2 linked regions of the Stegostoma tigrinum genome follow. The protein of the gene in region 2 purifies or fractionates together with the protein of the main gene of each other region. This does not show direct contact. Links are inferred from orthologs where the notes say so. Each region holds a gene or a part of one and is shown on either strand. Other genes may lie near its edges.

The links.
Region 1: the proteins of phospholipid-transporting ATPase IG-like (region 2) and cell cycle control protein 50A-like purify together in Homo sapiens (co-immunoprecipitation; 4 studies listed by BioGRID and IntAct, with this or other methods). This does not show direct contact. The link is inferred for Stegostoma tigrinum from reciprocal best matches to the Homo sapiens genes ATP11C and TMEM30A.

Annotation. Positions count from the first base shown.
Region 1 is NC_081362.1:27,361,823-27,369,658, reverse strand, and holds the start of cell cycle control protein 50A-like, read left to right. Parts: upstream 1-4,780; 5' UTR 4,781-4,944; coding exon 4,945-5,160; intron 5,161-7,836. UniProt on the Homo sapiens protein: Accessory component of a P4-ATPase flippase complex which catalyzes the hydrolysis of ATP coupled to the transport of aminophospholipids from the outer to the inner leaflet of various membranes and ensures the maintenance of asymmetric distribution of phospholipids.
Region 2 is NC_081368.1:4,261,971-4,269,658, reverse strand, and holds the start of phospholipid-transporting ATPase IG-like, read left to right. Parts: upstream 1-4,560; 5' UTR 4,561-4,669; coding exon 4,670-4,696; intron 4,697-7,688. UniProt on the Homo sapiens protein: Catalytic component of a P4-ATPase flippase complex which catalyzes the hydrolysis of ATP coupled to the transport of aminophospholipids, phosphatidylserines (PS) and phosphatidylethanolamines (PE), from the outer to the inner leaflet of the plasma membrane.

The DNA of each region.
Region 1 (7,836 bases), on a different chromosome or scaffold from region 2:
AGGTGCTCGTGAGAAGGTGGTGGTGAGTTGTGTTCTTGAACTACTGCAGTTCATGTGCTGGAGCCACAATGCCCTTGGGGAGGGAATTCCAGGATTTGACCCAGTGACAATGAAAGTCAGTATGTTTCTAAGTCAGCATAGTGAGTGGCTTGGAGGGGAACTTGCAGGAAGTGGTGTTCCCTATCTGCTTCCCTTATCCTTCTCAATGGAAGTAGTCACAAGTTTGGAAGGTACAGTCTTTGATGAATTTCTTCAGCGCATCTTGTAGATAGTACACATTGCTGCTACTGAGTATCAGTGATGCTTGTGATTGCTTGTGGATGCGGTGCATATTGATTGGGCTGCTTTGTCCGATGGTATCAAGCTTCTTGAGTGTTAAAGCTGCACCCAATCCAAGCAAGTCGGCAGTATCTCTTGTGCCTTATACACAGTGAACAGGCTTTGGGGAGTCTGCGGGTGAGTTGTTTGCAACAGTATTCTAGCTTCTGACCTGCCCTTGTAGTCATTGTATTTATATGGCAGCAAGTCCAGTTGAGTTTCTGGTGAATCGTAACCCCAGGATGCTGATAGTGGAGAATTCAGTGATGGTGGCACCATTAAATATCAAGGGGTGGTGGTTAGATTGTCTTTTACTGGAGATGGTCATTGGCCAACATTTGTATGGCATGAATATTACCTGCCACTTGTCAGCCCAAGTCTGATTAATGTTACTGATCTTATTGCATTTGAAAATGGACTGCTTTGATGTTTTAGGAGTCGTAAATAGTGCTGAACATTGTGCAGTCATCCGCAAACATCCTCTCACGTCTGACCTTATGATGGTGGGATGATCATTGATGAAGCAGCTGAATATGGTTTGGCCCTGGGCACTACCCTGAAGAATTCCTGCAGAGATGTCCTAAAGCTGAGATGACTGACTGCCACAGCCAACAACTACTCATCTTCCTGTGTGCCAGATACGACTCCAATCAGCAGCGAGTTTTGACCCAATTCTCATTTAGTCCAGTTTGCTAGGGTCCTTGATGCCACACCTGGTTGAACGTGGCCTTGATTTCAAGGGCAATCACTCTCAACTCACCACTGAAGTTCAGTTCTTATGACCATGTTTAAGCCAAAGCTGTAATGAGATAAGAGCTGAGTTGCCCTAGTGGAGATCAACTGGATGTCAGTGAATTTGTTATTGCTGAGCAGGTGCTGCTTTGATACCCCTGCTGATGACACCTTCCATCACTTTGCTGATGCTCAAGAGTACACTGATGGGGCAGAAACTGATCAGGTTGGATTTCTACTGCTTTTTGTAACAGGACATCCACATTGTCAGGTAAATGTCAGGATTTTAGCTCTACTGGAAGAACTTGGCTAGGGGAGTGGTAAATTCTAAAGCATTAGTCTTCAGTGCTATTGTCAGAATATTGTCAGGGCCCATAGTATTTGCACTATCCAGTGTCACTAATTGTTTCTTGATATCACGTGGAGTGAATCGAATTGGCTGAAGAGTTGGCATCTGGAGGGTTGTAGGTATTTGGAACTCATTGCTGAAAGGGTGGTAGAAGTTCACATCATTTGAGAAGTATATAGATGAACGTTTGAAATGACATTGGTTACAAGGATACAGGCCAAGTGCAGGAAAATAGAAATAAAATAGATGGATATGTGATGATGACAAAGTGTAGGCCCAAAACATCAGCTTTTGTGCTCCTGAGATGCTGCTTGGCCTGCTGTGTTCAACCAGCTTCACACTTTGTTATCTTGGATTCTCCAGCATCTGCAGTTCCCATTATCTCTGGATATGTGACAGTTGGGGTAGACAGAATGGGTTGAAGGACCCCTTAAAACTGTAAAAATTCGACAATTCTCTGAAAATTGGGAACTTAATCAAGGTGCTAATAGTTCCTTATGTGTGTGGAACCACAACCTGACGCCCCTCTACACCACCCTCATAGCAGAATGTTTGCTTTAATTGTTGAGCAAATTGATCACATCAGTCAAGGTAGAGTCAAATTAATGCACTGTACACTGAGAATCTTCCAGGTTATCCTTAAACTCACACAGAAAACTAATATTGGGGTGACTAGGGTTTGATCAATTAATGGAAGCGTCGAATCACAAATTGGTATGGCACAGATAAAGGCCATTTAGTCCAACATGCCTACACCATTTATATCCAAGTGTTTTCATTTTCTCTCACAACTTGCTTGCTTCATTTGCGTATCACTTTAAATCTATGCTTTCTTGGCATTCCTTCTTTTACGAGCCAGAATAGCTCTGGATTGAACCTCGTCTGTCATCTATCCATCTACTCCACCATCTTGTCAATATGTTTTTGGAGTTTCATAAAGTCCTCTTCGCAGTTTACAATTCTTCCTTCCACTGATCATTACTCTCTGTTTCCTATCAGTCAGCCATTTTTGTATCCATGTTACTATTGTCACCTTTATAACCATGACCTATAATTTTCCTCACAAGTCTATTGAGTGACACTGTATCAAATGCCTTTTGAAAATCCATGTATACTATTAAATCATAGTCCCATAGGACCAGAGGGCTTCTCTCTCATGAGAAAGACATCTGGTGGGGAGGTCAACCATAGGTTCACAGTGCCTTAGGGAAACGGGTCAAGAAGGCAGGACTTTTATGGTCAACAACAAGAAGTACAAAAACAGAAGCTGCTGGAAAAGTTCAGCAGGTCTGGCAGCATCTATGAAGAGAAATCAGAGTTAATGTTTCGGGTCCGGTGACCCTTCCTCAGAACTGATGGTAGCGAGGAAATGTCTGCATATAGGCAGAGGATAGAGTGGAGGGAGGTTGTGAGAAATAAATGAAATGTGGGGAAAGAGCCCAACAAGAGAGAAAAACAGTTGGACACATAAAGGAGTTGATAATGATCTGGCTAGGAGGTTGAAAAGCTGTTGATGGGAACCGTTGGTGACTAACAGTAGGTAGCCTTCATTCCCGACCCCATCCCTGTCCCTTTTTTTCTGTATATAAACTGACATTTTTCCAGCCACCATCTGTTCTGAGGAAGGATCACCAGAACCAAAACATTAACTCTGTTTTCTCCTTCACAGATGCTGCCAGACCTGCTGAGCTTTTCCAGCAACTTTGTTTTTGTATCAGATTTACAGCATCCGCAGTTCTTTTGGTTTTCAACAGGAGGTAGTGTGTCCTGGCAGACTATTTGATAACAAGGCCTGGTGTGTGGAGTAGGGGGCTAGGACATGGGAGAGTTCAGGACCTAAAATAATTGAACTCAGTACTGGGTCGCGGGGGGTAGCTGTCTGTCGAACTTTGAACATCATAGAGATAACTGTGAGTCTGGGTGGATTCAAGGCTCTGGGGAGAGTCTGAGCAGCAGGCAGTCACTGAGGAATATGGACCAAATAAAAATCAACAGAACTGCAAATGCTGTAAATCAGGAACAAAAACAAAGTTGCTAGAAAATTTCAGCAGGTCTGGCAGCGTCTGCGAAGGAGAAAATAGAGTTAATGACCCTGCGAAGGGTCCCCAGACCCAAAACGTTAACTCTGTTTTCTCCTTCACAAATGCTGCCAGGCCTGCTGAGCTTTTAAAGCAACTTTGCTTTTGTCACTGAGGAATGTGATATAGCTGACCTCATCTTGGTGACTTCAGCTAGTGAGGGAATTGAACACGCACTGTTGGCATCAGTTTGTGTTGTGTACCAACCATCCAGCCTGAGCTAACCACATCAATCTTTTCTGTTACCTCTTCAAAAGACTCCAGCAAGTTCACTAAACATGATTTTCCTTTAGGGGAGTGCAAGGTGCCATAAGCTTGAGACTCACTAAATCCAATGTGGATGTTCAGAAAAATAACCCAGACAGCAGTTGAAATATAGAAATTGGTCAAACAGGGAGTAGATGAAATTTTCGGTGCTTTGACTGTGAAGCTAGTTAAAGAGAAGAAATGCGAAGCATATCAGCCAATCAACACTATTCCCATAAAAGTGTAAGCCATAAGGAATTGTTTGGACGTATCACCTTGGAATCCTGACTAACGGTAAGCAGGACATTGGGGGTTAGGTGGATTCAGCTTGTCTGGTCCAGTCTCCTTTCGCTGTGTGAATTGCAGAAACAGAAGTTGCTGGAAAAGGTCAGCAATCTGTGAAAAGAGTTCCGAGGAAGGGTCGCCAGACCGGAAACGTTAACTATGATACCTCTTCACAGATGCTGCCAGATCCGCATTTCCAGCAACTTCTGTTTTTGTTCCCGATTTACAGCATCCGCAGTTCTTTCGGTAAACTGTAGAGAGTCTGACCTTGTGGCCGCTCTGACTGAGGGGTGTGAGCCGAAATGACAACTATTTTTTCCCCCGAAGACGGTGACGGTGAGTAACATACGAGCAAGAAACCGGATGGAGGTTTGGAGAAGGCTTGTCTGGAGCAAAGCACCACTTAGACGGAATATCCTGCTTCAGCGCTTTGCATTCTCCATAATTTATCTGTAATATAATTAAGGGAGCTGTTTACTTTGTTTGATTCCACGCTCGGACCTCTTCACTCCTCTACCTGCCATCTTCAGGTATTTTCTCTATTGTATCTTCCAGCCTGGAATATCAGTAAAGTCCTAGTGTTAGTCAAGCCCCTAAGACTGTATTTACAAACAATTCATCATGTCTTAGACTTCCATCAGCTGAATGTTGATTGGTCTGTAACAAATTGCTGTCGAAACGCTTTACTGGTCGTTATGGAAACAGCAGCTCGGAATGTTCAAGAGCGTCATGACGTCCTTGAACGTGATCATGCGATGACGTTAATTATAGACGTCATCGCGTAGCAGCGTACTCGGGTTTTGGTTTCCGGGATTAGTTCCTTCTTTCTCCTCAGGGGTTAGGTCCGAGCGGTAAGTGGTACATTGGGGTTTGGTGTGTCAATCGTAGAGACCGTGATCTTGTGGCCGCTCTGACTGGGGGGGGTCTGAGCCGAAAATGGCAACTAATTATTCCCCCAAAGATGATGATGGTGGTGAGCAGCACAAGAGCAGGAAACCGGACAACACCGCATTTAAGCAGCAGCGCCTCCCCGCCTGGCAGCCTATTCTCACCGCCGGCACTGTCTTACCCGCTTTCTTTATAATAGGCCTCATTTTCATCCCCATCGGCATCGGCCTGTTCGTCACCTCCAACAACATCAAAGAATTCGAGGTAAGTCCCGTGGCGGAAGCACTGTAAGCTTTGTGAGGTTGAGGACAAATGAGGAACAGCGTCAACCAAGGCATACAATTGTCAACCTAATTCTTCCTTAATATTATTGGTCTACGTACGGCACACCCTAGACACTGATACCATTAGGTTTTTAACTTTTCGGTCTATGCCAATATATAATAGTGTGGTTATCAGTAGTAAAGTTGCAAATCTGCAAAGAAGCATTCCTTTTGGATGTATTCTTTTGGAGGAATGGTGTTTAGTTCGATCAGACCTAATGTATACCAAACTAATCTGTGAAAACACATTATTGAAACATCTGTAATGATATCGTTTCTCGTTATGATCGGGAACACTTGTAGGCAGTGTTGTGGTGACACCCTGCTTTTAAATGCGAGCACTCTAAGCATGGAACCAACGTAGATTGCAGATCCTAAATCGTTGGGTATTTTTGGGTTTATTTGGAAGATGCTTTCTGAACGGAATGGCCTGCTTTGCATTACCTAGCAATGTTTTTAATTAAAGTACCTCCAGATTTTGCAAACTACATTTATTTTAATTATTTTTCCTTTTATCAATTGATGCTCCTTAACATTGGCTTTATTTTTTGCAAACCTTTGGCAAGATCAGCAACACAGACAGATAAAGGCAAGGTGTACTACAGAGACAACAGTCAGAATGTGGAGTAACAGAAGTACCTTGAAACTTTGGGAAATGACTACCTCATTTGTGCCTAATTCCAAATTTCTTTGTTTTTTTGCTAAATTATCATGAAAGAGATTAAGGTCATATCCTCGGTTACTGTAATCTATAAATCTTAAATGTTTGAATGTTTAAACTAACAAGAGACCTACTAAAATGTTTCAATCATATTAGTACTGAAATTGTACCTCTTTACAGGAAGTATAGTTATTCTTTCACCAAATATATCAACAGAGTCAAAATGCCAATGTTTGGAATTAAACTACTTAAAACTGTCCATGCGTAAACATGGTACAGAAGTACATATTTTTGTTAGGGCTCTGACTGTTTTTTATTTGGTTAAAACTATAGAATGTGAAAGTCTTGTTGGAAACTGTTTTCTCCCAGGTTGAAAAGACAGGTTTAGATCCGGTGAGCTCAATAGTATTTGAATGTACAGTCTCTTTGCTATTATAATTTTTTTTGTCTGTCATTGGAAAAATAACAACATGTTATCTACGAACCTTGTTCCATGATTATCGCTGTTTAGGATTCCTGTTTTTGAAGCGGTATTCTAACTACTCCATTCTTCAATTTATTTGTGTGGTGGCATTCCCTTTCAGGTTAGATTGTATAGACGTTCAAGATATGAATGTTAGCTTCATCTGTTGAAACAACGTTCATGTCAAATGATTAAAATAATACATCTTTGCAAAAACATCAAATCTGGTGAATTTTCTTGATTTAAGATCAAAAATAACTTTTGGATAATAAACCATTAAATAATTGTCCCTGCTATTTGTCACACTTAACAAATCCACCATTTCATTGTTTCCTTCCATGCCATTCCCTATGCTACTCTCTAATCCCTCCTGTGCTATTTCCAAGCATTTGTTGCCAACCATATCCATTCCACCAATCTCATCCATTCCTCACAAAACAATTTTTTCAGCCAGAATAACTTCATTACTGGGCTCTGCTTTCCTTCTGCCGTTTTTGAGCTCCCCACCTTTGGTGTCACCAACTGTGGGTAGCCACATGCCTGTCATGAGGTCTTGTTCTCTGCTTTGCTCATGTGCCTTTGTGTGTGCCAGTTACTGCCCAGCAAATAGACTTACCAAGAAGTGCACACTTCAGCTGCTGAATCATAATCATGTACCTTGACAAAAACTGAGTTTATCTGCAGATTTTGATATAAAAAAAATCAACTTTACATTAGGCTAAGAATTTACCAAGTATCAGTGTATGTCTCATTACGTAAATTCATTTTGCAGATAAACGTTGTGTGTTCAGTGCCAAACTGACTATCAGAGTGCCATCAATTCTTGAAACTCTGTCCTATAACTTTAATCGTGAAGTGTATGGTTTCATGATGCTATGAGAATGAACTCATTTCTGTCAGGCCATTATGGAAAAATAGTTTCCACCTAGCAGCTCCTTTTTCTCCCCCCTCCTATGGAGAAGAAATTTTAGTTACTTGGGCTGTAATTGACCAAGGACCAAATATGACACTGGCAAATTCCAGCAAATGTGTTGCCTTGTTATCATAAACTTTTTGCCCCAGTTACAATATGGTGCATGAAAAAGCAAGGGAATTTAAAAAATAAACATTGAGGTAAAATTATTGGATTTCAGCCTGATGCAATTTCTTTTCAGGTTCAATGATTCTGAATAACTGTAAAATAATCCCATTAAGATGTGTGGCTTGCAAGCCAGGGCCTGTCTTTTTAGCCCTTGAAAGCTGAATGCAATATCTCTCAAGAGTACTGGTCAGGAATCTTCAGTTTAAATTGCCCTTGTTACCTCTGAATAGTATCTTATATCACATTTTATTTTATTTTGAGGCATCGTTGAAAAATAACAAAGTCTGGTAATTATTATTAAAACTGGCGAGAATGAGTTTGATAGCAAGCCTTTCATCTGTCTGAAGGACAAGAGAAATTCCTGTCCTCTTGTTCACTTTTAGCTCTGGTGTTCAATATTAAAATCAGAGCA
Region 2 (7,688 bases):
CACGCACTCTTCCCCCTTATTTTACAAACATCAGATATTCGACTAAGCTTTGCAACAGTGTATTCAATGGTTGCACTGCAATGTTTGCCCAAACCCAGTTGCTCTGAAGTGTTGCTGATGAGCCTTTACCTGCTATTACGGAAAGGATTACAACAATTATGTAGCCACATGTCTGTTAGATGGGAAAAACATAAGAATTGGATAATGCATGATAACAAATAAAATATACGTCCAAACCAGAAACTTCCCTGACATTGTTTCTCTCTTTTTCAGTCACAAAGAATTCAAGCCAGGGTGGTGCTGGTAATGTAACCTTGGTGAATAGCTGCAGTGTACTTTATAGACAAAACAAACCGCAGCCACATTGTGCCAGTAATTTAGATAATAAACATATAGTCAAAAGGCAGGGCTGCCAATTAATACAGACATTAATTTGGGAAAAATGGAGTGGCCAAGCATATGGGGTTGTAGATTTCACCAATGGAGGAGGTCAGAGCACATTAATCAAGAAGAATATTCATTAATCAAGATCAGCATTTTGAAGTCAATGCAGTTGGAAAATTTGTGAAGATCAGTGAAGGGAAGATTGAAAGAAAGTGGTAATTTAGAATAGCATTACCATTTTGGCCAGCTTGGGAATGTTTGGTTGGAATGCAGTGGAATCCAACAAGAAGAATGATACAACAACAGGAACAATAACTTAAATGAGAGATCCATAGTGCATTGAATGGAAACATAGCACTGACTCACCACAATAGCAATTAAGCTACCACTTGTGGCCCTGTAGCATTTATTTTCCTTTTCAGATAATTATCCAATTCCCCTTTGAATACACAACTGAAATGGCACATGCTTGCAGGGAGTACATTCCAGATTTTAGTTATTCACTGTGAAAAATAAATTTTAGTTTTGCACAAAAAAGAGACAGTATGTTGAAACTTTCTGCCTCGCATTCAGAGTCATTGAGTTGTACAACATGGAAACAGACCCTTCAGTCCAACTCATCCATGCCAACCTGGCATCCTAAATAAATCTAGTCCCATTTGCCAGCATTTGGTCCTTATCCCTCTAAACATTTTCTCTTCATATCCCCATTCAGAATCCATTTAAGTGTACCAGCCTCTATGACTTCTTCTGGCAGCTCATTCTATATACACATAACCCTCTGCATGAAAACGTTGCCCCTCAGGTCCCTTTTAAATATTTCCCCTTTCACCTTAAATCTATGTCCTCTAGTTTTGGACACCCCCACACTGGAGGAAAGCCCAAGTGCATTGACCCTATTGGTGCCCCTCATGATTTTATAAACCTCTACAAGGTCAGCCCTCAGTCTCCAATGCTCCAGGGAAAAGAGCCTCAACCTTTTCAGCCTCTCCCTATTGCTCAATCCCTTCCACCCTGGCAACATCCTTGTAAATCTTTTCTAACTCTTTCAAGTTTCACAACATCCTTCCTACAGCAGGGAGACCAGAATTGCATGCAGTATTCCAAAAATGGCCTAACCAATGTCCTGTACAGCCACAACATGACCTCCCAACCCCTATACATTCATCATGATAAATGCTACAATATGAAATTTTAAACGGAACAGCAATTTATATCGCATGTGCAAAGTGGGCTGATTGTTGACAAATGAATACAGGCATTGTGATGGAGAATGTTGTCAAGGCAGAGGCATCAGAAACTCAATCGGGGTGGTGGTAATGTCCCTAACTCCAAGCCAGGAGTCCTAGATACTCCAGAGGTGTGCAATAGCTTCTCTGCACAGGCTGATTAGAAAACATCTATACTTCCTTGCTTGGGAGTGGACTGTGCTTTCAAAGTCATGTCCCGATACTATTCGTACATGCAGAAAAACTGGTAGTGAAGCACAGATCGCTGATTTTAGGCCTTTGGCAAAGATAACATAGGAATAGGAACAGGCTACTTGAGCCTGTTCCACCATTCATTGAGATCATAGGAGATCTGTGGCCTAATTCAATTTACTTGCCATTGGTCTGTTTCCTTTAATAAGTTTGCTTAACCAGTTTTTCTATCACAGATTTAAAATTAACAAACGATCCTGTATCCACTGGTGTTTGTGGAGCAGAATGCCAATATATCCACCAACCTTTGTGTGTAGAAATACTACTTAACACCTTTCCTGAACATTGTGGCCTTAATTCTCAGACTATGTCCCCTAGTTCTAGAATCCGAGCCAGTATAAATAGTTTTATCTATTCTGTCTTTTGCTGTAGAATCTTGAAGACTTTCATCGGATCACCCCTTAACTATCTAAATTCTAGGGAAGACTGGTCAAATTTTTATAATCGCTCCTCATAATACAATCCCTGAAGTCCAGGTATCATACTTGCAAAGTTGTACTCCCTCCAATGCTAATATGTCCTTCCTCATGTGTAGTGCCCAAATCTGTCAACAGCACTGCAAGTGAATGAATAGACGAATGAATGAATAACTTTATTGTCATGTGTATTTTATGGTGAGAATAACAAAGTACAGTGAAAAGCTTTTCCATTGTTGCCATGATCCAACACTATTTTCCATCAGGTGGGGAGACTAGGACCCGTGGGCACAGCCTTAGAATTAGAGGGGGTAAATTTAGAACAGAAATGAGGAAATATTTCTTCAGCCAGAGACTGGCGGGCCTGTGGAATTCATTGCCACAGAGCACAGTGGAGGCCGGGATGTTAAATGTCTTCAAGGCAGAGACTGATAATTTCTTGATCTCACAAGGAATTAAGGGCTATAGCGAGGAGGTGTGGGGGCAAGTGAAGCACTTCCTGCAGTTGCAGAGGAAGGAGCTGGGTGTGGTGGGGTTGGAGGGGAGTGTGGAGCGGCCAAGGGGGTCACGGAGAGAGTGGTCTCTCCAGAAGGCAGACAAGGGTGGGGATGGAAAAATAGCTTGGGTGGTGGGGTCAGATCGTAGATGGCAGAAGTGTCCAAGGATGATGCGTTGTATCCGGAGGTTGGTGGGGTGGTATGTGAGAACGAGGGGGATCCTCTTGGGGCGGTGTGGCGGGGGCGGGGTGTAAGGGATGTGTTGCGGGAAATGCAGGAGACGCGGTCAAGGGCGTTCTTGACCACTGCGGGGGGAAAGTTGAGGTCCTTGAAGAACGTGGACATCTGGGATATGCGGGAGTGGAATGCCTCATCATGGGAGCAGATGCAGCAGAGGCGGAGGAATTGGGAATAGGGGATGGAGGTGTATTCTCGGTAGCTGTGAGAGTCGGTGGGCTTGAAATGGACATCAGTTACAAGCTAGTTGCCTGAGATGGAGACTGAGAGGCCCAGGAAGGTGAGGGATGTGTTGGAGCTTGCCCCCACACTTCCTCCCTCACCCCCATCCCAGACCCCAAGATGACTTTCCATATTAAGCAGATGTGTTCCGCCAATGTGGTATACTGTATCCATTGTACTCGGTGTGGCTTCCTCTACGTCACGGAAACCAAGCGAAGGCTCGGGGACCGCTTTGCAGAACACCTCCACTCGGTTCGCAACAAACAACCATCTGTCACAAACCATTTCAGCCCGCCCTCCCATTCCTCAGATGACATGTCCATCATGGGCCTCCTGCAGTGCCACAATGATGCCACCCAAAGGTTGCAGGAACAGCAACTCATATTCCGCTTGGGAACCCTGCAGCCCAATGGTATCAATGTGGACTTCACAAGCTTCAAAATCTCCCCTTCCCCCACTGCATCCCAAAACCAGCCCAGCCTGTCTCTGCCTCCCTAACCTGTTCTTCCTCTCATCCATCCCTTCCTCCCACCCCAAGCCGCACCTCCATTTCCTACCTACCACCTCATCCCTCCTCCTTGGCCTGTTCGTCTTCCCTGGACTGACCTATCCCCTCCCTACCTCCTCACTTATACTCTCCTCTCCACCTATCTTGTTTTCTCTCCATCTTCGGTCCGCCTCCCCCTCTCTCCCTATTTATTCCATTTCCCTCTCCCCATCCCCCTCTCTGAAGAAGGGTCTAGGCCCGAAACGTCAGCTTTTGTGCTCCTGAGATGCTGCTGGACCTGCTGTGTTCATCCAGCTCCACACCTTGTTATCTCGGTTTCTCCAGCATCTGCAGTTCCCATTATCTCTAGTACGAGGCCGTCGCCTGCCTAAACTTGTACCCATGCCTCCTGACTCTCAGAAAGAGCGACATTACCACGGCCCGGCAACATTGTTGGCGAGGAAAGGACGCATGGTGCCTTTAAAGATAGTTGAGTAGTTTCCATCGGTAGGCGAAGAACTACAATCCCCATGGTTCAGCGCGGGAAGGGCATGCGCAGTGGTGTGAAAGGAGAACGGGCCATTCGGCGGCCTGGCAGGCAGGAGGGAGTGAAAAGATGAACGATCAGGGGAAACGGTGACTTCCCGCCGAGCCGTGTTGATGGCGATCTCTCCACCTCTGAAGGGGAGGAACGATATAGAGTGAAGGCGGGGCCAGGGGAAGGGGTGGGTGGGGAATCGTTAAAAGGGAAATCGCTCGGAGCCTGAAACCGTGCACCCCGAGGGAGAGGGGACCGGTGGCGGGGCAGGTGGATGAGGGTTTGGGTGGGGGTTTTGGTTGGTGGGGGACGGCCGAGCGAACTCCGCTGCAATGCTTGGGCGTCGAGAGGCCGCGGCGGCGAGGCCGGAATTCAGCGGCTGAAGAGAGAGAGGAGAACGGCGCGACATGTTTCGCTGTGCGATCGACCGATGGGTGAGTGTCCTTCGCTCCGCCCGGGCGGGGGGGAAAGCTTGGAAGCTCAGTTTAACTCTTACCGGCGGTGGCGGTTGTTTGGTGTAGCGGAGGGGGATTCGTGAAATCCTTCTGAGGCGCGGGCTCCGTGACTGAGGCGACCGGCGGCGGCGCCTCCGAACGTTGACCCCCGGGAGCCGCCGCGTGCAGCGCGAGCCTCGGCACCCGCTGCGAGCTCCCGCGAGCCACCCTCTTGTGCATCTCGCCTCTGCTTGCAAAGTTGTCCTCATTTCCTTTCTCTTTTCATTTCACCCCCTTCCTTTCTCTTTTTTTTCTCCCCCCCCCCCCCTCTAATCGCAGAAATACGATCAACACGCCCGTTACTTTGTGAAATTTTGTGTTTTAAAAATTCCTTTGGAGGGAAGCCATGCTGCATTCTTGCGATGTTTTTATTTCGGTTTTGTTTTGCTTATCTATAAGTTTGAAATATTGCATTTTGATATGCAGATTGCATTGATTATTTGATAACATGCTGCAGTCCTCGGTGAGAAATTATTTGCGTTCATGCTTATGGGACGTCTGATGTGCCGACATCGCATCAGCACAAGTTTCTCATTTCTTCACTGCTACTCCGTTGCGTTTCGGGTAGCTGCAATAAGTTTTCTGGCCGATTTAGCACGTTTTCTCTCCAAGATTGGTGGCCTGTGCTTTGAACTCGGACTGTGCTGTCTCAATTTTGTAAATATTTCCAGTGTAACGTGTAAAATAGGCTGCAGTGTTCTCAACTAGCTTTTATACAGTTAGAATAGGCAATTCTCCAGTAAACTATATACAGATGTTTTTACTAGTGACGGCAATTATTAACACATCGCGTCTAAAATTAGCAACATATTTTATGGGGAACAGGCTTTAAAAGCCGCTATTGTTGAATATGATGGAAATAATGACACTGCATCGGCTTATTTTCATAAGCAGTACCACCTTTTGTGGATAGGGATTTGGAGGATGCAGGTTAAATCGTAGAGGTATTTCATTCACAATCTGTATTAGTGACGGACGGTTTTGATGTGAATCACGTTCTACTGAGTGAGGGACTAGATGGAATGTGGCGATTTAGCTATCTTTCTGTCACCCTGGTGCAGTTGCTCTTGTACAGATTGAAGATAAGGGAATACATTCCAAGGATTTGGTTTTCTTTTGGCCCCTGGCTTGTGCTGCGGTGTGGTATGTGTGTCGCGGTGCTAGCCATCCTCCAATATTTGATGATCTGACCGCTTTCAATGTGAACAAGTCTGTTGATTTGGCTGCACTTCTGTTAAACCTGAGTCCATTCCTCACTAATAGTTGCACGTCTTTTCTGGTAGAGGTCAGTGGAAAGTGAGTAGGAGTGGGAAAGGTGACCAGATGTACTTTCTACATCTTGAGATGCTGCAGCAAATTCCTCACCTCACTGTTTTATAGTCTGTAACGTCTCTTTGTAATCAGTTGTCAAATATTTTCAAGCAAATGTAGCATGACATTAAAGCATTAGTGCTTTAACCCCTTGCGCAAGATAGCATGGAAACTAATTAGTTAACATGTTTTGAAAGTTTAACTGCAAATGTATAAACTTATTTGAGTGTTTTTGGAATAATTTCAAACTATAAAACGATTCTTTAATTACAGTCAGGTAATACACACGTTGTGTGATTTTTATGCTAACATTTGACATTGTCGACTCTTATGCATTACAGTACAAACACCTATGATGTCCACATTGACATGTAGTTGGCTAAAATAGGACTGATTTTTATAAGTTTAAAGGCACAGTCTGTACATTATTATAATTCACTATCGCAAGCAATGATTGGGAAGTGTTCAAATGACATCCCTGCTCCTATGAAAGAACTTCATGTCTTATTATGGTGGTTTCTTGCTAATTTCCGCTGAACAAGATGTGTGCTAAATTTGAAAAGGAAATATCTAAATACAATTTTCTGCACACTGCTTCAAGATTATGAAAGAAAATTTGGGAGATTGTAATGTGGTGACTGTAGCATATATATCTGCCCTTTCTGTGCTATTTATATTAGTTAGCAGAACAAATCAAAGCTAATCTGTTTAAGAGATACTGGGAACTGCAAATGCTGGAGAATCCAAGATAACAAAGCTTTTCTGATGAAAGGTCTAGGCCCGAAACATCATCATTTGTGTTCCTAAGATGCTGCTTGGCCTGCTGTGTTCATCCAGCCCCACACTTTGTAATGTCTCAACCACAAAGATCGCAAGTATTTTTCAAATGTAGACTTTGCTGAAATTAATAACCACGTTACACCATCTGACCAAAACTGAACAAACTTAAACATGCTAGTAGCACATTTTACAAGATTTCCATGTACAGTGGAAACTATTCTTGGATCATCTCATGCAAGTTTGGTAGTTTGCAATACCTTCTTTTGATGGAAAATTGATCAAATAGGAGAGCTGCTAAGTTTTAAAAAATTTTTTAACTCTTTTGTTATTGCTGAAAAGAGATGCATTTTTGTTAAACTTTCTGTCTTGCATTCATCAGGGCGTTTTGCAAGAACACTGAATCAAGGGGCAAACCAACATTTTTGCTATCTAAGTGGTTGGCAAGTGAGCACTGATCGAGGCATCGCCATAGACAATTCACCCATTGATGTGTTAACTGCCAAGCATAATTTTAAATTTTAAACTAGGCTAGTTGATCCTGCTTGGATAGAGTGTCACTCAGATAAATGAACCAGTAAGTGAGTTGAAACTGGTGCAGTGCTAGTATATGTTCTTTCTGTCTGCAAAAAAAAAAGACCTGTGTATTAATACATTTAGCTTCAAGTCCAGTATTGGAAAAATACCCCTCACGTTCACAAATTTCCTTTTTAGGAAAGAAAATCTGCCTAGTCTGGTGAGACTCCGGACCCACAGCAATGGGGTTGACTCTTAGCTTACTCTTAACCAAGTTTTTATCTTTGCACAGTAAAGGATTTCTTCGTGCTTGTCAAGAGCATATGTG